Linked DNA regions of Pelodiscus sinensis. The protein of the gene in region 1 purifies or fractionates together with the protein of each later gene. This does not show direct contact. Links are inferred from orthologs where the notes say so. Each region holds a gene or a part of one and is shown in the gene's direction. Other genes may lie near its edges.

The links. The genes of interacting proteins can lie anywhere in the genome.
Region 2: the proteins of EFTUD2 (region 1) and TOP1 purify together in Homo sapiens (affinity purification with mass spectrometry; 3 studies listed by BioGRID and IntAct, with this or other methods). This does not show direct contact. The link is inferred for Pelodiscus sinensis from reciprocal best matches to the Homo sapiens genes EFTUD2 and TOP1.
Region 3: the proteins of EFTUD2 (region 1) and PPIH purify together in Homo sapiens (affinity purification with mass spectrometry; 3 studies listed by BioGRID and IntAct, with this or other methods). This does not show direct contact. The link is inferred for Pelodiscus sinensis from reciprocal best matches to the Homo sapiens genes EFTUD2 and PPIH.

The regions. Positions count from the first base shown.
Region 1 is NC_134739.1:148,892-156,548, reverse strand, and holds the start of EFTUD2 (116 kDa U5 small nuclear ribonucleoprotein component), read left to right. Parts: upstream 1-4,649; 5' UTR 4,650-4,808; intron 4,809-5,686; 5' UTR 5,687-5,690; coding exon 5,691-5,795; intron 5,796-7,657. Other genes in the region: DNAAF19 (Ig-like V-type domain-containing protein FAM187A), read right to left, coding at 1,419-1,572, 3,002-3,170. UniProt on the Homo sapiens protein: Required for pre-mRNA splicing as component of the spliceosome, including pre-catalytic, catalytic and post-catalytic spliceosomal complexes. Component of the U5 snRNP and the U4/U6-U5 tri-snRNP complex, a building block of the spliceosome.
Region 2 is NC_134728.1:25,119,772-25,127,410, reverse strand, and holds the start of TOP1 (DNA topoisomerase 1), read left to right. Parts: upstream 1-4,634; 5' UTR 4,635-4,779; coding exon 4,780-4,812; intron 4,813-5,536; coding exon 5,537-5,561; intron 5,562-7,639. UniProt on the Homo sapiens protein: Releases the supercoiling and torsional tension of DNA introduced during the DNA replication and transcription by transiently cleaving and rejoining one strand of the DNA duplex.
Region 3 is NC_134733.1:3,182,955-3,189,986, reverse strand, and holds the start of PPIH (peptidyl-prolyl cis-trans isomerase H), read left to right. Parts: upstream 1-4,027; 5' UTR 4,028-4,278; coding exon 4,279-4,344; intron 4,345-4,711; coding exon 4,712-4,776; intron 4,777-7,032. UniProt on the Homo sapiens protein: PPIase that catalyzes the cis-trans isomerization of proline imidic peptide bonds in oligopeptides and may therefore assist protein folding. Participates in pre-mRNA splicing.

The DNA.
Region 1 (7,657 bases):
GGGAGGGAACAGGCCCCTGGCAGGTGAAGGGTACGAGGGGGGAGGGAACAGGCCCTGGCAGGTGAAGGGTACGAGGGGGGAGGGAACAGGCCCCTGGCAGGTGAAGGGTACGAGGGGGGAGGGAACAGGCCCCTGGCAGGCTGAGCAGGCCTGTGGGAGGGGGAGAACAGGCCCCTGGTGGGCAGGTGCGATACCCCCATCTTGAGCCCCTCCTCAGCCCCCATTCTCATACTCTCCACCCCTGAGTCTCCTGTCCCCCCTCCCACATGCCCAAGGCCCTGCCCTGAGGGACCCGGGCAGCACAGGGTGAGTCTGCTAGGGGAAGATAATAAGCAGGTAGGTAGTGGTCAACATGGATTTGTCAAGAACAAACCAACCTTATGTTCCTTCTTTGACAAAGCAACAAGCCTTTGAGGACAGGGAGAAGCATTAGATGTGACAAGTCTCCTGATACGGTCTCACCTGCCTTCTCCTCAACAAACTAGAGGAACGCAGCCTAAACGCACCTGCTGTAAGAGGGATGCACAAGGCATTATAAAAGCAACTGAGAGTAGTCACAGCCAAGCTGGAAGGGCAGATTGAGTGGGGTCTCAGGGATCTGTCCTGGGGCTGGTTCTGTTCAATTTCTTCAGAAATCATTTGGATAATAGGGATGTCAAAACCCCATTCAATTGGTTAAACACATTGTTTGCCCAGTTAACCAATTAATGGGGGGAGTATGTGGGGGAGCAGTCAAGCCTGACCGAGCTGGAGTGGCCCCCCCATTTCAGGAAGGGGTTGCTTCAGCCCAGCCAGAGCAGCCCCTGCCTGAAGGACGCCCAGGCCCGCCACGACAGGTTAGTCTCTAAGGTGCCACTGGACCACTCGTTATTAAATCAACAATGTAATTCTTCTGCAAAGAAGGAAGCATAATTCTTGGATAAATTACCAGAATGCTGAAAGCAAGACACAAAAAATAATTCTTCCACTCTAGTCAGCCTGATAAGGCCGCAACTGGAGTTTTTTGTTCAGTATTGAGCACTTCCCTTCAGGAAAGATGTGGAGAAACTCTAGAGGAGAGGAACAAAATTATTGAAAGTCTAGAAAACACGGCTTACAAGGAAAGACAGAAAATAATGGGATTGTTAGTCTGGAGAAGACAGAAGGGGGACATAATAGCCCTAAAGTACGTAAAAGGTTGTTTAAAAGACAAGGGTTTAAAGAGTAGGTTGTTTTAAGAGGATAAATTGTTCTCCCTAACCACTAAAAAAACACATTTTTTAAAAGGGCTTATTGTACTAGATGACACATCAAGGCACCCTCCAGTCCTACATTTCCATGATTCTGTGATCAATATGAAACTTTTATCCTAACGAAAGAATGTTCGATTGTTACATTCCCAAGACTGTGACTCGCAAAGAAACCAAAATCCTGCAAACCTGAACTCTTCATAGGATGCCACCTTCTGGTGAACGGCTCGGAACTTGGCATCATTTTCTCTTTGGTACTTTTCATCAGCAGCAACAGCAGCCTGCAGCTCTCTCTCTAATGCACAAAAATCTATTGCTTCAGCCTCCTCCATTCCAAAGATCTAAGAGCAAAACATAAAAACCACAAGAGTGACTTTAGTGCATAAGCATCACACAAAGAGAATACAGTACTCCTTTCTCTTTCACAGCCACCCATTTCATCCCCAGAATTCTTGCTAGACTTACTGTAAGTAACTACTAGAGTGTGTCATGTGCTAATGATCCCACCTCAGTCAAGCAAACTCCTGTCTTAAATAACCACTTGAAAGGATGCCCAAGTCTCCAGTGCAATTTTTAATCTGTTGTTAAAGACCAACCTCTACTACACAAAGTGGTTTTGTTCTGGAGTCACAGTTTGTCACATAAAACAGGTGTTATTGTGTATTGCTTGATCATCACACTCCCTGAACATTAACTGAAGGCTGCTGTCACACAAACTTTGCTAAAATCCCCCACTAAGAATGTGGTGGTTAATAAAGTCTCAGGGGGCAACTGTGTTCATCTGTATCTGTGAAAACTAGAACTCCTCCTGTGAGCACCTTGAAGACCAACAGATTTATGTGGGCATAAGCAGCCCAAAGAAATCTGTTAGTCTTTAAGGCGCCAGAGGACTCCTAATTGTTTTTCAGTTAATAAAGCCTAAAAGTTTACAAATCGGCAATAGGCATGTGGGGAGAGTGTAAAATATTCAAGGTCAGATTCAGATGCCAGTAAATAGAAAGCCCTATGTGCCAGGCAGGAACCTTTCCTCTTGCTGAGTAGCACAATACTCTGCAAATCTCCTGTTTCATGGCAATACTCCTGGAGTGAGGCCCTTCCCAAAGTACACAAGAGGGTAAGGATGTTAAATACTGGTTAATTTACTAGTCGAGTAGTCGATCGGCACTTCCGCATTCCTCCTTTGAAATGTAGAAGAGCCCCTGCACTTCCGCATTCCCCAGTGGAGGCTCTTGTACATTTCAAAGGGGGAATTCGGAACTCTGCGTGCAGCCCAGGGCCAGCGGGAAGTCCTGCTGACTCCGGATTGCGTGCAGGCGCTTCTGCATCGAAATGCACAAGAGCAAAAGGGGGAGGGGAGGGCAGCTTTGAACTGTACAAGAATCCTCAGCAGTGGCTCTTGTGCATGTCAAAGCAGAAATGCCTGCACAGAGCCTGGGGTCAGCAGGGGACTCAGGGTTACTTTGAAATGCTGCACGGAGATGGGGTCAGCTGAGGACTTTCCAGCTGATCCCGAGCTCTGCGTGGCATTTCCAAGTAATCCAGGATCAGCTGGGGACTCCCCAGTGGACCCCAGGCTCCGCGTGCTTTGAAATGCTGCATGCGGAGCCCAGGATCAGCTGGAAAGTCCCCAGCTGATCCCGGGTGCCAAGGAAATGCTGCGCGGCGCCTGGGTCAGCTCTGGACTCCCCAGCTGATCCTGGGCTCCGCGTGGCATTTCAAAGCGGCAGCGCCACGTTTTGTTTATCGAATAGTTGACTAGTCCTTAACATCCTCACAAGGGGGTGCAGCGTGGCACCCAGGGTTTAAGTTCAGGGTGCTGAAGGAAGAGCTGGTGTAGCTGGAAAGCTTGTCTCCTGCAGCAGCAATGGGGGGTCCAATAGACAAACTTTCAAGCCACATGGAGCACTGGGAGGAGGGGGCAGGGGGTGGCAAGCTGAGCATCTGCTCCCTGTGTCTGGCATCCCTCACGATCCCCTCCAGGCCCCCCAGCCTCCCCCCATCGCCCCCTCCAGGCCCCCCAGCCTCCCCCCACATCACCCCAGCCTCCCCCCATCGCCCCCTCCAGGCCCCCCAGCCTCCCCCCACATCACCCCAGCCTCCCCCCATCGCCCCCTCCAGGCCCCCCAGCCTCCCCCCACATCACCCCAGCCTCCCCCCACATCACCCCAGCCTCCCCCCATCGCCCCCTCCAGGCCCCCCAGCCTCCCCCCACATCACCCCAGCCTTCCCCCATCACCCCCTCCAGGCCCCCCAGCCTCCCCCCACATCACCCCAGCCTCCCCCCATCGCCCCCTCCAGGCCCCCCAGCCTCCCCCCACATCACCCCAGCCTTCCCCCATCACCCCCTCCAGGCCCCCCAGCCTCCCCCCATCGCCCCCTCCAGGCCCCCCAGCCTCCCCCCACATCACCCCAGCCTCCCCCCACCGCCCCCTCCAGGCCCCCCAGCCTCCCCCCACATCACCCCAGCCTTCCCCCATCGCCCCCTCCAGGCCCCCCACCCTCCCCCCACATCACCCCAGCCTCCCCCCATCGCCCCCTCCAGGCCCCCCAGCCTCCTCCCACATCACCCCAGCCTCCCCCCACTGCCCCCTCCAGGCCCCCCAGCCTCCCCCCACATCACCCCAGCCTTCCCCCCATCGCCCCCTCCAGGCCCCCCAGCCTCCCCCCACCGCCTCCTCCAGGCCCCCCAGCCTCCCCCCACATCACCCCAGCCTCCCCCCATCGCCCCCTCCAGGCCCCCCAGCCTCCTCCCACATCACCCCAGCCTCCCCCCATCGCCCCCTCCAGGCCCCCCAGCCTCCTCCCACATCACCCCAGCCTCCCCCCACCGCCCCCTCCAGGCCCCCCAGCCTCCCCCCACATCACCCCAGCCTTCCCCCCACCGCCCCCTCCAGGCCCCCCAGCCTCCCCCCACATCACCCCAGCCTTCCCCCCACCGCCCCCTCCAGGCCCCCCAGCCTCCCCCCACATCACCCCAGCCTCCCCCCACCGCCCCCTCCAGGCCCCCCAGCCTGCCCCCACATCACCCCAGCCTCCCCCCACCGCCCCCTCCAGGCCCCCCAGCCTCCCCCCACATCACCCCAGCCTCCCCCCATCGCCCCCTCCAGGCCCCCCCGCCTCCCCCCATCGCCCTGCAGAGGCGCCCAGCGCCGCTTGCCGCGGGGGGCCCGTTAGCCGCTCGCTGGGGAGGGGGGGGGGGGGGTTGGGATCGATCCCCCTTCCCGCGCCTCGCCACGGCCCACGCCGCAGCCCGGCTTCCTGGCGGTCTCCATAGCAACGAGCGGCGCGGCGCCGAGGCCCCCGGCTAGGGCTGTCCGTGCCACGCGCCTGATCAGATCCGGCTCCGCCGAAACGGCCCCGGCCCCGCGGAGCCAGCCGGACCCAGGCCTGCGACCCCCCCGCCCCGCCCCACCCCGACCTCGGCCTCGGCGCGGGCTGCAGCGGGAATCCCAGCGGCCCGTTGGGCAGGCGAGGGGCCAGCCCCGGGTCCTTCCGCGCTGGTGTCGCAGCGGCTGCCGGGAGGGAGCGGAAGGCGCGGAGCGCGAGGCGAGGAGCAGGGGCGGCCGGAGGCGGCGGCGGGTGAGTGGGGCCGGCCGGGGGGGACTAGGGGGCTCTGGAGGGGGCGGGGCGCTGGGGGGCCCTGGGGCGGGTGACGGGCGGGCCGGGGGGGCGCTGGGGGGTGGGGGCGCTCTGGAGGGGGCGGGGCGCTGGGGGGCCCTGGGGCGGGTGACGGGCGGGCCGGGGGGCGCTGGGGGGTGGGGGCGCTCTGGAGGGGGCGGGGCGCTGGGGGCCCTGGGGCGGGTGACGGGCGGGCCGGGGGGCGCTGGGGGGTGGGGGCGCTCTGGAGGGGGCGGGGCGCTGGGGGCCCTGGGGCGGGTGACGGGCGGGCCGGGGGGCGCTGGGGGGTGGGGGCGCTCTGGAGGGGGCGGGGCGCTGGGGGCCCTGGGGCGGGTGACGGGCGGGCCGGGGGGCGCTGGGGGGTGGGGGCGCTCTGGAGGGGGCGGGGCGCTGGGGGCCCTGGGGCGGGTGACGGGCGGGCCGGGGGGCGCTGGGGGGTGGGGGCGCTCTGGAGGGGGCGGGGCGCTGGGGGCCCTGGGGCGGGTGACGGGCGGGCCGGGGGGGCGCTGGGGGGTGGGGGCGCTCTGGAGGGGGCGGGGCGCTGGGGGCCCTGGGGCGGGTGACGGGCTGGGAGAGGGGGTCTCGTGGGGATGGGGTGGCCGCGGTGCATTGTGGGATGGGCACTGATTGCTCAGGAGGGGGCTCGGAGGGAGGTGACGTGGGCGGGGTGTTGGGCGGGCTGGGGGGGAGTAGGGGCGCACTGGGCAGTTGTCAGATGTTTCATAAATAATTCAACTGGCAAGGGTGGGGGTCGGGGGCAGGACTCCGCTTCGTCCCTGGTGCCGGGAAACCGTTGCCCCAAGGAGTCTCGTTACACGTGACTTTCTCTCTCACGGTAGCATCATGGACACAGACTTGTATGACGAGTTCGGGAATTATATCGGGCCAGAGCTCGACTCGGATGACGACGACGATGAACTGGGTAGAGAGTCCAAGGATCTTGATGAGGTGCAGTGAAACTTGTGCAAAAAGCCTTCGTTTATCATAAATGGCACCAAAATAATGTAAAACTGAAATGAAAGTTATTCTGGTCTTAGTTGTCCTCCTCCCGTTCTCCTGAAGTTTAATCAAGACTGTAGTTATCCACAGACATCTGATGCAAGCTGAAAAGTAATTACAAGTTGGACCTCTCTGGTCCGGCACCCTTGTGACCTGACCCGTCCCTCATCCCTGACAATGAGGGATTGTGCCGGACCAGGGGAGGTCATTTCTGGCCCCCCAGCCCTGACCTGGCTGATGACCTCCCAGCCTGCTCACCCCTTGCCGTTGGCATCGTTACCCTGTCAGCCCCACTGTGCTTCCAGGCCCAATTGGGCAGCCCGACTGTCAGCCCACAGGGCTTTAGGCTGCCAGCTCTTCATTGGAACTCTGGTCTTGGAACATCTGTGGTGTGATGTTGCCAGACCAAAGTCCCGATTTAGAGAGGTTCAGCCTGTATTTCTTCTGAGTCAGTGTCTCCTGGCCCCAGAAAATGTAAGTAAGTGAGAGAGAAAGAACCCAACACCAAGCTTACTTAGAGTTTTGAAGGAAAATGTTTATGTACTATTAAATATTCTGATTTAATAGATTTACAAAAACAAAGTATATAAAAATATAATAAAAATAAAAAATCTACTAGGCTGCCCTGTTGATAGCCAGAAAAAGACAAGGAATTTTGTCTTGAACGTGGGACAAAATAAGAAACTTACTCTGTTTTAAGTGAGTTTCCCCTTTACTGGGCACATTCAAATAGGATTTTCATGTTTTAAGCAAGAGCTGTAGACTATCGCTCATTTTTACTGATACTTTCTGGTGTCTCCAAGTAAGAGAAGTTAGCCCCAAGACATGACATGTTCATCATATGGTTTAAAGCACGTCTGGGAGGCATTCAGAGTCTGGTGGTGAGCTTGGTGTAAGAACATTTAGAGAAGCGAGGAATGTGAATGGTATTTATGAAAAAAGAAACAGTGGTATGTTTAGCAGTGGTGTTGAAAATTTCTTTTTCACTGAATTTTTGGTAGATCTTCAATGATCTAAGAAATTGGAACTAATCACTGCTATTCTTTTAAAGCAGGGGTGTGGAACCTGAGGCCTGGGGGCCGGATGTGGCCCCTGGCTTTCCTAGATCCAGCCTCCGAGGCTTGGGGTCCCCCTCAGGGTTGGGGTCCCCACGCTAGTGCTCCAGCCCCTTCACTATTCCTCCATGGGGCTGGAGTGCACAAAACTGAACTACTACATCTACTAGCCTGGGCCCCCAAAGTTCTGGCGTGCAAGGGGAATGTCTTTCTCATTCTCAGTTGAGCCACATCAGTGAGGATTGGTTTGGTTTGGTTTGTTTGTCAGGGGCCCCTATCCAAAAAAGGTTCCTCACCTCTGCTTTAAAGAAATAGAATTCCTTATGGTGTGAGTATTTATATGTACATGTAAAATAGTCATTATTGTACTGGTGAAATCACAGCTCCCACACAACTGGGATTTGGGGGTTTCATGCACAGGGTTTGGTAGCTTCACTTTGATGTGGTGTGTCCATGGGTATGTTGTGTACTGGGTATTACTATCGATTGCCTGCCGTGTAAGCATCACTTGCATATGGCGTTGGGATCTGTTTTAAAGATGACCTGCTGCTCATTGTGGCTATCTGAAATGGATTCCAGGTGGGAAAATGGCCTCCAAACTGAAAAATGGGAAGCCCCTCACAACCTTTTTCTGGACCTGACTTTGAAAGGTGCCTGATACAGAAAGACTGGGGCCTGCACTGCAGTTGGATATGATCTAGATCAGGGCTACTCAACTTTGGAAGCCCCGGGGACCGCAGTGATACTCCCAGCACA
Region 2 (7,639 bases), on another chromosome or scaffold:
GCAGCTGCATCAGTAGCTAAAATCCCAGCATAAACCTAGGTTCTATTTTCAGTTCTGACTTGCTGTGTGACCTTGACCAAGTTATTTAAAGCCACGTTTTTGAAAGTGCTCTCTTATTTGAGGTTTTTTTTCTTTTTTTTCTTTTTTGCAGGGAAGTGCCCAGATTGAGACACCTGGACCTACTTTTCAGAATGCTGAGCACCCACAATCCTCCTGGACTTCAGCTGGAGTTTGGCGTTTACAGCACTCTTGAAAATTAGGCCCAAGGTTTCTCACGTTGTGCACTTCAAAATAGAGGCACTCAGATGTACAGGTTTTACCTCCAAAAACTGGCACTCTCTGGTCTGGCAACATCTGTGGTCCAGCAGATGTTTATGAACCAGAGAGCCCAGAAGCCTCAGGACAGGAGTGCCAGCCCGGCTGGGGACAGCGCAGGACTGAGTTCAGAGCCCTGTGGCAGCTTCCAGCAGTCCGTGGCAGTGTGGGGTTAGGGCCCAAGTCCCACAGCAACGCAGAGTGGAGTCTCTTGGCAGCCCCTTAGAGCATGTAGCTGGGGCTCCACAGCACGCTCCTGGGAGCATGAGGTTGAAGTCAGAGCCCCACAGCAGCCTCCTGGAGCAAGGGGCAGGGACCAGGAGCCAGACCCTGTGCCTTCCAGGGAGCCAGCAGCAGCTGGGTGAGCAACCCAACCAGGTTGGGAGAGGGGGGATGAGGCAGGGTGCCTGCTGGGACAGCCTGCCAGCAGCAGGCAATAGGCTTGGGAGCCAGTGGCAGGAAACCCCCCCTTAGTCCAGGAAATCCTCTCATTCAGGACTGGTCAGGTCCCAATGGTTCTGGGACCATTAGTTTCTCTGATTTAGTTCTTCTAGGTTCAAAATAGGGATATTATGCCCTTCCACAGCATTTTCCACCTAAGGGGGAAATATTAGACATTGTACTTGGAAGGGACACTGTCCTTAAATAGAGGTACCAAATTTAGGCTTAGGAATTGATAAAAAAATTCATATAAAACCTAATGTAAAAAGAATCTTTAGATAAACATTTCCCTGCAGTGTTGTGAATGTCACAGCAATAGGTGTTACTGCATGAGAAACAGAATGTGAAATTGACTAGGGGGGAAAAAAAATGAAGTGAAACTGACTAACTCAATTTCAGCCATAAAGCGAGGGAACCATTCTAGGGACACTGATTCAATGAAATGGTTTCCTTGTATTTGTAACATTTCAGCATCGTAATGGAGCCATCTTGTTGCACCACATACATACCATGCAAGAGTAGTTTTTCCAGAGCATTCTGGGATCCCTGAAATGCCTATTTCATAATGCCCAGTACTGTACTACTGCTGATAGATAGCAGGACCTATGGTGTAGTTTCCAAATATGAGGCTCTGCACTGGGAGATGGAGTTAGGAAGAGTGGCTGTGTCAGCTCATGTTAGGGAGAATCATTTTTATAGGTTAGCAGTAAAGAGCTTGTGACTCAGAAGAGTTTGGATTTTAACCAGTAGAAGGCAGTGTTAATACACACGCATCACCCAGTTCATTACCAAACTACTGAATGTATTTCACAATGTGCAATGCATTTGAAGAGATTCATGACAAATAGCTGAAGATATAATTTTCCCCTCATAATATGATTTAAAAATGTTTGGTTTCATTCCTTTCCTGTTATGTATCCTCTTTCTTTCCATATAGACTCTTGACTCCAATAATAATGGCAACTATGACAGCAAATGCAAGCTTTCGTGTAATAAAGCAAGCCAATATCAGCTACTATTCCCTAACTAGTAATTACCCATGATTGCTCCAAACCTCTCCCTTCCCAGGTGCAACTCAGTAATTAAAACTAGCCTTTGGAAGTTCCAACTCACAATGACATCTGCTAGTTCTGCTGTATTTTGCTTCTGCCCCTACATATAAAACTGTGAATTATTGCAGTGATTTATCAAGGCGGAAAACAAGGAGTGCTTTTGAAAGCACTGTGCTCATTTAGTTTCAAAGCATAATAGGTATGGATATTTCTGAGCAGGTTATTCTAATAATGAATGATGGCAGTTATGTATGTGATTGTTCATCTTTTGTCCAACTCTTTTCTTCTGGTGACAAGCTCACAAGACTAGCTCTGATATGGAATCCAGGAAACCCTGTTAGGGATCTCTAAGCATTATTTTAATGGACGTTGGCAATAGGTACTTGCAGCTTTGACAAATCCAAGCATTCAAAAAATCATGGGTCAGACTCTCCCAGCCCCCTCAAAATTATAAGATTTAATTTTTAAACAAGAAATGCTGGGTTATTTCTCTTTGGCATCTGGTTTCTGTGCTTTTAAGATGCACTTACTTCTCCCTTACAAGCTTTTCACTACAACCACGAGGGTTGGAGCCTTACTTTTTCTTTTAAAACAAAGTTGAGATTCTCATGCAGTCTTTTGATTCTAGTAGCCCAGGCTTTAAGAAAATACACCCAGGCTGAGTCTAGACTGGCAAGTTTTTCCGCAAAAACAAGTGCTTTTGCGGAAAAACTTGCCAGCTGTCTACACTGGCCGCTTGAGTTTCCGCAAGAACACTGACGATCTCATGTAAGATTGTCAGTGTTTTTGAGGAAATGCTATGCTGCTCCCGTTCAGGCAAAAGCCCTCTTGCGCAAATGCTTTTGCACAAGAGGGCCAGTGTAGACAACGCGGTATTGTTTTGCGCAAAAAAGCCCCGATGGCGAAAATGGTGATCAGGGCTTTCTTGCGCAAAACCACATCTAGATTGGCAAGGATGCTTTTCCACAAAAAGTGCTTTTGTGGAAAAGCGTCCATGCCGATCTAGACGCTCTTTTCTGCAAATGCTTTTAACGGAAAAACTTTTCCATTAAAAGCATTTGCGGAAAATCATGCCAGTCTAGATGTAGCCCAAAAGTTCTGAGACTTACAGTATAATCAGGAAAGGAGGCAGTTTTATACATATGTATTGTCTCACACGCTTTTTTGCACTATGGAAGCAGGTCAAAGATCTGGATCTGTCGTTTTTTAAATCTAGATTGGATAGAACTTGAGTACTGTGTTCTATCTCATACAATAGATAGAACACAATACTTGTTGCTAAGGCTTTGCTAGAAGATAAACCTTGTCTCAGGCTCCTTTAAAACCTTTGTGTTGATCTTCTTGCAGTGGTGGTTTTTTGTTTTCTTTTTTAAACTTAAAAAACAACGAATAGTCTAGTCACTTTAAAGACTAACAAGACAACGTGAGTTTTGCCCACGAAAGCTCATGATACCATCTACATGTTTGGTTAGTCTTTAAGTTGCTACTAGACTATTCATTGTTTTTTATGTTTTTTGAGTTACAGACTAAGTTGGCTGTAACTAACCAACTTGACTAACCCTAACCCCCCCTCTGATTTTGAGGGGGAGGGTGTTTGTGTGAGAACATACCTTGGTGCTAGTTTGAGCGACATCACAGAATGCATTAGTTGGTGGTTGGTCCAGCAGTCACCAGCATCGATCATAGCACAAATAATACATACATCAATATGGTCCTGAGACTGGACGATGACATAATCAAGCAAGTGCCAGTGTCCCGATCGTGGGTATCACCAGGAGAACTTGAAAAAATTCTTCTGCCAGAACAGGGTGTTCATTATAACACCCTGTGTTCGTCTTGTTATAACGAACAATCTTAAATAAAGCATAACACAGCAGCAAGCAAAGACAAACAGCTGAAGTGGTGGGCTAGGCGTGATACAAACACTCAATTAGTCACAGTCCCTGTCCCAGAGAGTTTACAATCTAATTTATAAACTATGACTTTGAAAATGAGCAATTAAAATTACACTTGAACCCTTCCTGTGCCAGGGAATAGGCACATTGGGAGGGAAAGTTGTGGGATGGGAGATTCCCTGGGCTTCCTTAGGGGATGCAACCCTATATACTCTCATCCACTTCTTGCTATTGTCTCAGCCTGCTTGAAGGGCTCTAATATATTGTCCATCCTGATCTCCCAGCAGATGTGCACCCCTGTACTGGGAGCACCCAGCATCGCTCCAACAGCTGTTTGATCCCTGTTCTGTGTACTGGGGTCAGAGGCAGCTGAGGAGAGCTGTATAGGAAGCAGGTCAGAAAATAAAGCTGTGGCTGCTCTCCAGCTTTGATACCTTGCTCCTCTGCCCTTCTAGTGCAACCCTTTAGTTGTAGCTGACAGTCAGCAATTGGTGATGCTTGCAAAGAAAGGGGCGGGGCTTCAGATGCAAATAAAGCCTCCCTGCAGGAGAGTTTTTGCGCATGAGCGTTACGTGCGCCTTGGGACAGGCTTTCATCCTATCCGCCGTGGGAGGTCCGGAGCATTCCCTCCGAGGAGGCGTGGTCGGATATGCAAATCAAAGAGGGACTTCTTGACTAATGGGGCGGGACCGGATATGTAAATTTCCCGGCGTTCTGAAAGGAGGGAAAAGAGCAGAGTACGCAAATAGCTAACCGGCGTTTTTCGTAAATGGCAGAGAGGGGGGAAAAGGGGCGTGGCTCTCCATACAAATCTAACCTAGAGTTCTGAGAGCAGGGCGGAGGAGGCGTGGTCGAGCAATGCAAATACTGGAATTCACTCCTCTGTTCCACCTCCCCGTCCCAGCCCCTCCTCTGGGTTAAAAGCAGCGGCGCCTGCGCAGTGAGGGGAAATGAGGACTTAGTCTGTTACACAACTGGCTGCCGAGCTGAGTGAGGGGGTTGCAATCTCCCTTCGGCCACAGACTCCGCTGCTCCCAGGCGCCTCTGCTCCTGTGTAGGCCTCCCCACCAGCCGGCATGAGCGGGGACCAGCTGCACAACGACTCCCAGGTGAGGGACCCGTGCGCCCCCCTATGCCCCAGACATTTGGGGCCCTCCAGCCCCCCAATAATCCCTCAGGCAGTGGAGATGCCCCGGATCCCCCTTGTATCCTGTGGGGCCACGGGGTGCCCCGTCCTCCGTATCACCTTAGTGGGAGAACCCCTCCCCCACCGAGAGCTCTGGATCCCTTCTCCCCTTGGTTCCCCCTCCCCATTTGCCCTCGGACACTCAGGGTGGGATGCCTTGATCCCTGCCCTGGGGCACCTCCGGCCTCTCTGTGATTGGCGATTTCCCTATAAAGGGTCTGTAACTCCCCCCGCCCCGCATGAAAATCCCAGCCAAGCCACATAGTGGGGGAAGGGATTTTTTTTACCCTGTCTTCCCTTTAAAAGCGCGCTCCAGAGAGGGTGGGAAGCTTCCCCCTTTACATGGGGGGGGGGGGGAAGGGTGTCGGGTTGAAGGGAGACCCGGAGAATGGGTGCAGAAGCATGAGGGGGGGGGACTCGAAATAGGTGGGGGGAAGGTTGAAACTTTGGGGCGCTAGGGAGTCTGAATTTCGCCCCCTGCCCTTGGGATGGGGGATACGCGTCTCGATACCAATCGGGGGCTGCTGAGTCGATTTCCTCCTCCTTCGCCTAAAACTGTCCCTGGATCGGGCTCCTGCTGGTTTTGAAAATATCCGTATTCTGGTGTGTGTGTGGTTTTTTTTACTCGCTTCCCCTTGTCCTTACAGATCGAGGCGGATTTCCGAGCGAACGGTGAGTGTGTGCCCCCCACCCCCGTCTTTTGGGGGCGATTTACCCCACTTTGCCTCCGCTTTCGCTCCCCCCTTCTGTGTTCCTGAGGATGGTAAAGGACAGACATGGCGTCCCAGAGACTAAGTCCCGTCTCCTCGCTCACCGGCCCCATTGTTCCCATCGAGCTGCTAAATGCTCCCGCTTCCGAGGGGCTTAGGTCCTACCTGACCCCCTCTTCCCCTAGTGGGGGCAACGCAGGCCCCAGATCCGACCCCTCCGGGGTCCCTGGAGTCCCCTTTGGGCCCCGATTCCTCCCTAGAAAGTCGCCTTATCGACGGTCGGGACTTAGTCTCTGCGCCATTTTCTTTTTCTCTCTCCTCTCTCTTCTGTGTGTGTCTCTTTCTCTCCTTCTCCTCCTCCCCTGACTGCTGAGCAAGAGCCTCCTTCCGAGAAACACGGGAGAAATCGCCACTTCCCGACCCCCATACCCTCCCAGAGAGGGGGAAGGCAAAGTGTTTTTTTTTTTTTTTTTTTTTTTTAGGTTTAATAAATCACCAAGCTGCTTTTATTCAACCCTCTCCTGCTCAGTTTTGTTTCTTTCAGTCAATCCCTCTCATCCTCTAAAATGAAAGGTGGTTGCAACATGTTGCTCTTTAAAAGATTCTGCTGCATCCATTTTAAAATCAATCTTATTTCTTTCTGTGCTGTTTAATTGATTTAACTTTACCTTGTTAGGTAGAGAATTTTAATTGTGGTTTTTTTTAACATTTTTTTTTAAAAAGCAGTGTAAGCAATTCCAGAACAGTAGACAGCATCACTTCAGAAAGTTTGCAAGTTGGCTGTTCATTTTTGGGGAATAGGTTGTAGGAGCCCTGTAGGTGATTGCATTTTAGGAAGAGGATGATTACTAATTTTTACATACTGTTAGATGGCATATTGGTTTCATTTTTTTCCAGAGCTGGTGGGTGGTATACTTAAAGGTGGGGGGAGGGGTAGTTTACAGCTTGCTTCTGCATGCATATGTCACTGTCAAGCCACTGGCTTTATGTGAAGAACTCTGTCCCCTAAGCAATGGGGGTGGAAGGCTGGGGGAGGGGGGGGGGAGGATGATGTGCTTGTTACCTGGCCTGAAATATGTAAAAGTGTTTTGAGTTCACTCCACTTATTTATAAATGTGGTTTCATCTTGCCTCCCAGTCCCATTGCAAATACTGTTTTTTGAATACTACAATCTTGATGTTTGTAATCATTGCAGTAGCGTTCTGGACAATATGTTTGATGCCTACTTGCTTGGCTAAATGCTATAAAATATTTGTGAATATTTACATGTTATATTTGTGTATGCACATCATTGGTACTTGTGCATATCAATGCATTTTATAGATAATATATATGAATGTACATTTGTGTAACAGTAGTGTGTGTATATGTACAAATATACTATTTATAAACATTCTTTCCCCTACAAAATAATGCTAAGTAAATCATTATTTAAAGGGGGAAGGGAAGAGCCTTCTTTCCCTGGAACTGCAATAAGCATTTTTAGAATTCAGTATAAATTTGTCTATAAATATTTGTAACCTCTTTGTGCTGGAAATATTTGCTTAAAGGTTAGTTTTGCTAGTGGGAAAAAAACTTGCTGATTTTAGATGTGGAATAATTGACTCCTCCAGTCCTGCTTCCAGTGGACAGTCTTAACAGGGTTTTCCCCCCAGATATTAAGGCTAGCTGTACATTGTTTTTATTGTTCCCAATAAGGAGTGGTTTAGGAAAATAGACATTTAATACCTCTTTGACTTTGTGGGTTTTTCTTGTCTTTTCGCAACTGCTGATGGGATTCTAGTACACACATCTCAAGCAATATCTGGAGAATCAGATGTGCCTGAAATTCATCAGTCACATGAAGGTGTCATAGAACTCTTCCTCCCCATCTTGATTCCAAGTTTTCCTTTGACTATCATCATTGTCGTTTGTCTTAGGCAACAGAAAGGCAAAGTCCTCTTCTTTGCTCAGTGCTTCATTTGCTAGTCTTTTTTAAGGAGTAGTGCTGTTGATAGTTCATGTCCTTTCTGACCTTGCTACCAAAGCTGAACCTACTTT
Region 3 (7,032 bases), on another chromosome or scaffold:
GCTCGGCACCAACAGGGACAAACTCTCTGTGCAACATTCTGCACGTTTGATGGTCAAGAAGTCAGTGTGGAGACGCCAGCCTGGCAGTGGCAAGCACAGGCTGTATGAAGGTGAGAAATCGCCCTGCCCCCTCCCTGCCTTGACTCCCAGCCTAGCCCTGAGACTCCCTCCCTTTAGTGTGAAGGGGCAGAGCCTGGCAGCTGCAGGAACAGGGACCACACGAGGGCATCAGGTCAAGCAGTGAGAAACTCAACCTCAGCCCTCCCAGATCTCTAGCCGGACTGAAATTCCCACCCTGCTTTCCCCTGGCTCCCGTGGTGCGTGGAGGGAGGCCCAGGGCCAGGCTCACAAGGCAGGGGAAAGCAGGAGGCAGGAGGAGCCCCAGGGTGGAGCCCAGCTCCCGTTTCCTCTGGGCACCGTAAGCAGGAGGAGGCTGGTGCTGACAGCACCAAGGGAAGGCTTAAAAGCCACAAAGCAACCGAGGGCCGGGCAGGGCAAGAGGGAAGGACCAGGCAGACACGTGACCTGCAGACAGCCACCGAGACCACCCTCTGGCACAGCAAACGCAGAGCGAAGGCCACCCAGCGACCAGCATGCGGACGGCTGCTGACGCTCTGCGTCAGACGATGGTAGGAAGGCACCGGCTGGTGTCCTGTTGGATGCTGGTGGCTTGGACTCCCCTGCCCTCAGAGGCTGGCATATGGGGCCAGCTCTTTCTGCTGCCTCCTTTGTGTGACTTGCCCAGAGGCAGGAATGGGGCAAAGATGGAAACTCGAGCTGAGGGAGGCAGGGCAGAAGCTCAGAGCCACAGTGGGGCGAGCAGGCCCCCCCCTTTGTTCTGCCAGAGCCTGTGGGGGCAGTGGGCTGCAGGGAGACAGAGTCCCGCGCCTGTCTCAGGGCATCCCAAGGGTGGTTCTGGGCAGCCCAGGAGAAGAGGGGGGTTCTGGGTGGAAGGAAAACAAGCAAAGCTCTTTGGGCATGATCCAGTGCTCCGTTCTGGCCTAGATGGATGGGGGACGGTGGGCTTGGCAGGCTCCCTTTGTGGCTGACCCAGGGTGTGATTCATGGCTTTGGACGTGTTATTAGCTGCCCCATATTGTTATCAGACTCTCGGGTGTGTTTGTACAGCTCTTGCTTTCAGGGTCTGGCTGTGTCTGTCCGGCTGTCTGGTACAAAACCTGTGCTGTGTTTCTGGGTCACACTCGTAGACAGTTTGACAAGGCTCTGCCTCGCCTGCTTGATGGCCCATCCTGGCCCAACAGCTATTCAGTTGGCCCATGGAGAAAGCAGGGGATACAGCTTGAGGCTCAGCAGCATATGCAGGGCCAGGCCTAAGCACATGGAACTGATTGAACTTCAAAACATGGCGACTACATATTGTCCATGACTCTGAGCCTTAGTTATGTGCTAAGAAAGGCAGTACAAGCCACATGGCAAAGGAATATAAGAGGAGGCTGCAACTTAGAATCATAGAGTCCTGGACTGGAAGGGACCTCGAGAGGCCATGCAGATTGAGGTTGCTCTAAAAGATTCTTGAATGTGGTCAGTAGTTGATCCGTATGGCGTTTAGTGCACCAAATCAGTTCTAGTTCCTCCTGTTCCTGTTGTAAGTGCCATGGGTTTGATGGAGATTCAGGAGGATGCTAATCGAACTGTGTTAATCCACCCACAGTATTCAATCAAACACATAAGGTTGTGGCACACCCCTCCGTTAGGGAGCTGTGTCCTCCCTGTGCTGCCTCCCTGTACCTCTACTCCAATGAGGATGGGAGTCGTGGCTGAACGCTGCTAGCAAGAAACATAGAAGGGTCCACCATGACACAGCCACTGTCTTAGAGGGAATTGGCTCCAGATTACGAATTGCAAGTGGCCAGGAAATTTAACAGTTTAGGGCATGAATTATCAAACTTTAAGGTGCCCCTTATTTTGGCTTTATCATCTATTACAAAGGTCAGTCTAGACATTATAATTATGGTATCTTAATGACCAATGATTTGGTCCGGTTAATTCAGGCAATGGGGAAGCTTCAGAGGGTTAGTTCCAAAGCTATTTCCTGCACACAAATCTAATCATGGATGTGTAATGTTTGTTCATAAGCATTGCCTCCATGCCTGTGACACCACACAGCTTAAGAGCCTCCGTATTAGGAATTTTGTCCCACCAGTGCACGTGGGCAATTTTCCTCAGACAATGCACATGGAACTGATTGAACTTCAAAACATGGGGACGATATATTGTCCATGACTCTGAGCCTTACAGCAGGACATTCAGGACAACTTCCTGATAAACCACTATCTTGGTATGGAGTTTAATACCACTGTCATTCCATAGGCGTTTGATTAGTTTTCCAAAGGCAGCGCTGGCTTTGGCTAATTGAGCAGATACATTATGATCCACATTTCTGCCAGAGGACAGTACACTTCCCAGGTAGCAGAACTTGTCAACACCCTTAAGGACGGTACCAGCAGCAGCAATCACTGGAGTGCTGGGCTTTTTCCAGACCAGCTGAGGCAAAACTTCTGTTCTCTTGAGGCTCACTGTGAGTCCAAAATGGTGAGCAAAAGTAAAAAGCTCCTGTGCATCCTTCACTAAGTGCATCAGTGCACTTACTATTGACAAAATGGTGAACCAACTAATAAATTATATGGTATATTCCTGAGATACAGTGCTAGGAGCTGAGGCCTTGGTGTACTTGGTGCCTCTGTGTGTGATCCATGAGTAGCTCAAGGAACATGAATGGAATCTACCTAGCTGTGGGGCTCCACGTGCTGTTTTCCTGAGTGAGAGCAATACTTAGAGGGGTCACTAGCAAGGCTTGTGAGAGACAGCCCAGGCTGGAGAGTTAGTAGTACCCCTGTCCCAGGCTGCACCCTGGGATCCCCAAAGAGTTCCATGGATTGACTGTGAAAAAATAATTTATTTTGTCTGTTTTAAATCTGCTGTCTATCAATGTTTTAATTGGGTCAGCTTCTTGTGTTGTTAGCAAAAGAATAAATAACGTTTTCTTATTCTTTTTCCATGCCATTCATGATTTTCTAACATATCCTCCTCCCATCCTTTAGTCATTTCTTTTCCAAGCAGAAAAGTCCCAGTCTTGTTTCTCTCTCCTCATATGGAAGATGTTCCTTATCCCTAATCATTTCAGTTGCCTCTACTGTACCTTTTCCAAACCCAATTACACACAATTAAAAAAAGTGAACACATATGAAAAGGACAAATCACGTGTTCACTTTTTTTTTTAATTGTATCCTTTGGTATAGATGGTTGTGACAATTTTCTTCCACTATCTGATCTGAGGAAGTGGGTCTGGCCCACGAAAGCTCATCATCTAATAAACCATCTTGTTAGTCTTTAAAGTGCTACATAGTCCTGTATTTTGTTTATGCAGATCTGGTCACCCCATCTAAAAAAAAAAAGATATATTGGGTTGGAAAAGGTACAGTAGAGGCAACTGAAATGATTAGGGATAAGGAACATCTTCCATATGAGGAGAGAGAAACAAGACTGGGACTTTTCTGCTTGGAAAAGAAACCCCTTGTGCAACGCCGCTACGCCGATTATTTTCAGGACTAGCGGCGTTGGCAAGAGGGGCAGTGCAGACAATGGCGGCTCGTTGGGTATGCAAACGAGGCTCGGCGATATTCCACGCTTAGCCTCATTTGCATATCTCTGGTGCAAGATGGCGCCAGTGTGGGCATAACCTCAGGGGGACACTTCCCCCGGCGTCCCCCCTCCCCCCCAATTAATGAGACACAAATCGGGTCAATGCAATTGCAGGCTCAGGGGCGTGGCTAGTGGGGCTCAGGGGCGTGGCTAGTAGGGCTCAGGGGCGTGGCTAATATGTCCCTAACTTTGGTTCAGAGAATAGGGTCACCATAGTTACGCCCCCCCCCCCCCACGCTGTAGCACCGTGTCCAATAGGAGCGCTCCCTGAGCTACGGGCTCGCGTGAGACGGTCTTTTGGCGGGAAGAGGAGTGGCGCGGGGCATGCTGGGACTAGAAGCAGCACAGAACGCAGCCGCGGACTACAACTCCCAGCACACTTTGCCACGCCCAGCCCCTGCTGCGCCTGCGCACTGCATCTCCCGGGCGGCCGGTCTTTTAGCCAGCGCTGGGCTCTAGTCCCGCGGCCGGGCTGTGGCCGGGGCTGGACGAACCCTTGGCGGGTCCCCCGGAGCCATGTAACTTCCCTCCGAGTGCGGGTCCGGAACCGGAACCCGGGCAGGCCATGTTGCCGGAAGGAGGCCGGTGTCCGGGTTCCGGTTCCGGTGGGTCGCCATGTCGGTGCTGGCCTCCAACCCCAACAACCCCGTGGTCTTCTTCGATGTCAGCATCGGCGGCCAGGTGGGGGCGGGGCCGCGGGGAGGGCCGGGCGGGCAAGGGGCCGCGGGGGGCAGAGGGGGCTCTGGCGGCAGGGTGGGGGGCAGAGTGAGCTCGGGGAGGGGCCCCTGGCCCCGGGGGGCAAGGTGGGGGGGGGCAGAGGGGCCCTGGCCCCGGGGGGGCAGAGGGGCCCTGGCCCCGGGGGGCAGGGTGGGGGGGGCAGAGGGGCCCTGGTCCCTGGGGGCAGGGTGGGGGGGGCAGAGGGGCCCTGGCCCGGGGGGGGCAGGGTGGGGGGGGCAGAGGGGCCCTGGCCCCGGGGGGGCAGGGTGGGGGGGCAGAGGGGCCCTGGCCCTAGACATGGGCCTGGCGCTGACACTCTTTTCCCCCCTAGGAAGTTGGCCGCATGAAGGTGGAGCTGTTCGCAGATGTTGTGCCCAAAACAGCGGAGAATTTCAGGTAGCCTGTGGCACTTTGCTCCCAGTGAGGCAGCCCAATGCCTGGGGATCGGTCATGCAGCAACTGGCTGGAGGAGGCCCCGGCTCTCTGGCCCAGCAGTGGGGCAGTCCTGCCTGGCACAGTGCCCAGGGGGTCTGAGAAGCAATTTTAATGGAGGTTGTGTCCCTTTGAGACAGCCTTATGAGCTGCAGCCTGCAGTAGATTGTGCACTGTAGGGTATCAGCCCTCCTCTTTAACATGTGCTTTGATCATCAAGGAAATTAACTGCCTTGATAATTAACTTTTACTTTTAGATCCCTTAAAGGGAAGGGACAGGGTTAAGACTCTAAAAGCCAGGTCCACACTACTGGAGGTCAGCTTAAGGTACGCAATTTTAAGTTAAGTTTTTGTTTTTTTACATAGCTGGAGTTGACGTATCTTATGCCATACTTTGGCACTGTCTTCTCAGCAGAAGGTCAACAGGAGGAATGCTCCTGTCAACTTCCCTTACTCTTCACAAGAAATAGGAGTACTGCTGCCAATGGTGGCACCCTCATTGGGGTCTTTATTAGGGATGTAATAGTATAGTCGATTAACTGATAAATAAAAGCTTATAGGTTAATGCATTCCTCCCCAGCCCCCCACCAGTAAATTTTTTAGTAGGCTGGCCAGCAGCCCGGCTCAGTCCTGGCTTGCGACGGGTCTGGGATCTACCCCTGCTGTGGCTCTGCATTTAAAGTGTATTAGGAGCTGGGTGGGCAGGCATCCTGGCTCAGTTCCGGCTCACGTTGGGTCCAGGAGCTCAGACTCCACCCTCACACAGGGGCTGCTGCTACCCTGCACTGGTGCTGAGGCAGGAGTGCGCAGTGGTAGAGCGCTCCCCAGGAGTGGCGCTGGAGTGCACTGGCTGCTGACCCCACCCCTGGGGACTGTAGAATAGTAAAGTAACTGATAAGAATTCATGAGGTTAATCGACTGTTCAGTTATACTGTATTTACTAGGGATGTTAAAATACGTTTATTTATGTAAATGTATAACCGCTGAATTTTTCAGTGGTTACACATTTACATGCTAGCAGGCAGGTATCTCTGCAGGGATGGATGTAACCATGAACAGATTTACAGAATATGGGTACACATTCACATCTTTAGTTTTTACTGAATTGAACGATGGAAGATCGACGGCTGTAGCATCTAACTGTCAGGGCGATTAAACACTGGAATAAATTGCCTAGGGAGGATTTGGAATCTCTGGAGATATTTAAGAGCAAGATGGATAGATATCTATCAGGGATGATCTAGATCAGGGCTATGTTTGTTTTCAGCCTATGATGCAGTTCGGGTTTACGTGGGGCTCAACACGTGGCTCACGGGTGGGATCCTTTGAACGTGGCCTCCACTGGGAACGTGCTTCACAATGGCGAGGCGTCTCCCAGCTGGGGTGAGCATTGAAAGATGCAAGCGGACAGTCTGGCTGGAACAGATGGGTGCAGGGTGTCAGCGTGTCTAGCCCCCAGGAAGGTGGTGCCAGGAGCACCGGGGCATTGTGTGAAAGAAGCTATTTCCATATATCAGAGGGGTAACCGTGTTAGTCTGAATCTGCAAAATCCGTTAGTCTATAAGGTGCCACAGGACTCCTCGCTGTATTTGCATATATATTTGCATATTTGTGCAACCACACTTATGTTGCGCCACTTGGCATGTGCTGTATCATTGTGGCCCTCGTGGCTTCCAAAGTTGAGTAGCCCTGATCTGGATGGTGCTTGGTCCTGCTGTGAGGGCAGATAACCTCTCAAAGTCCTTTCCAGTTCTAGTATTCTGTGATTTTTATCCCACATCAGGTCTCCTGTAATGGAAATTGCCTAGCAGATGTAGTGGCCTTACTGCCGTATCTTCCCATCACCTCCTAGGCACCAAATTCCATGCTGTCTCCTTGTGAGATTCAATCTGCAGATTGAGCAAAACTCAGCTGTACTTCAGACTGGCCAGACTTTTACTAGTTCCTAGGGAAAGAATGCCTGACCCAAGCAGTTATTCCCACATGCTCAAAAAAGAGGAGGGCTCAACCATTTGCTCCTGGGGATATATGTGCGATTCAGAAACCCTGCAGCCCACTGTGTTCATGTTTGCCCCTTCCTCCCAAAGCATCTTTGCACACAATGCACCCGAGAGATGGCAGATTACTGACTTGGCCCACTGTTGGCTGACTTCTTCATACTGGGCAGCCCAGTGCCTGAACAGGAACATGTGTAACTTCGTCCATCAGAGACCTCCACAA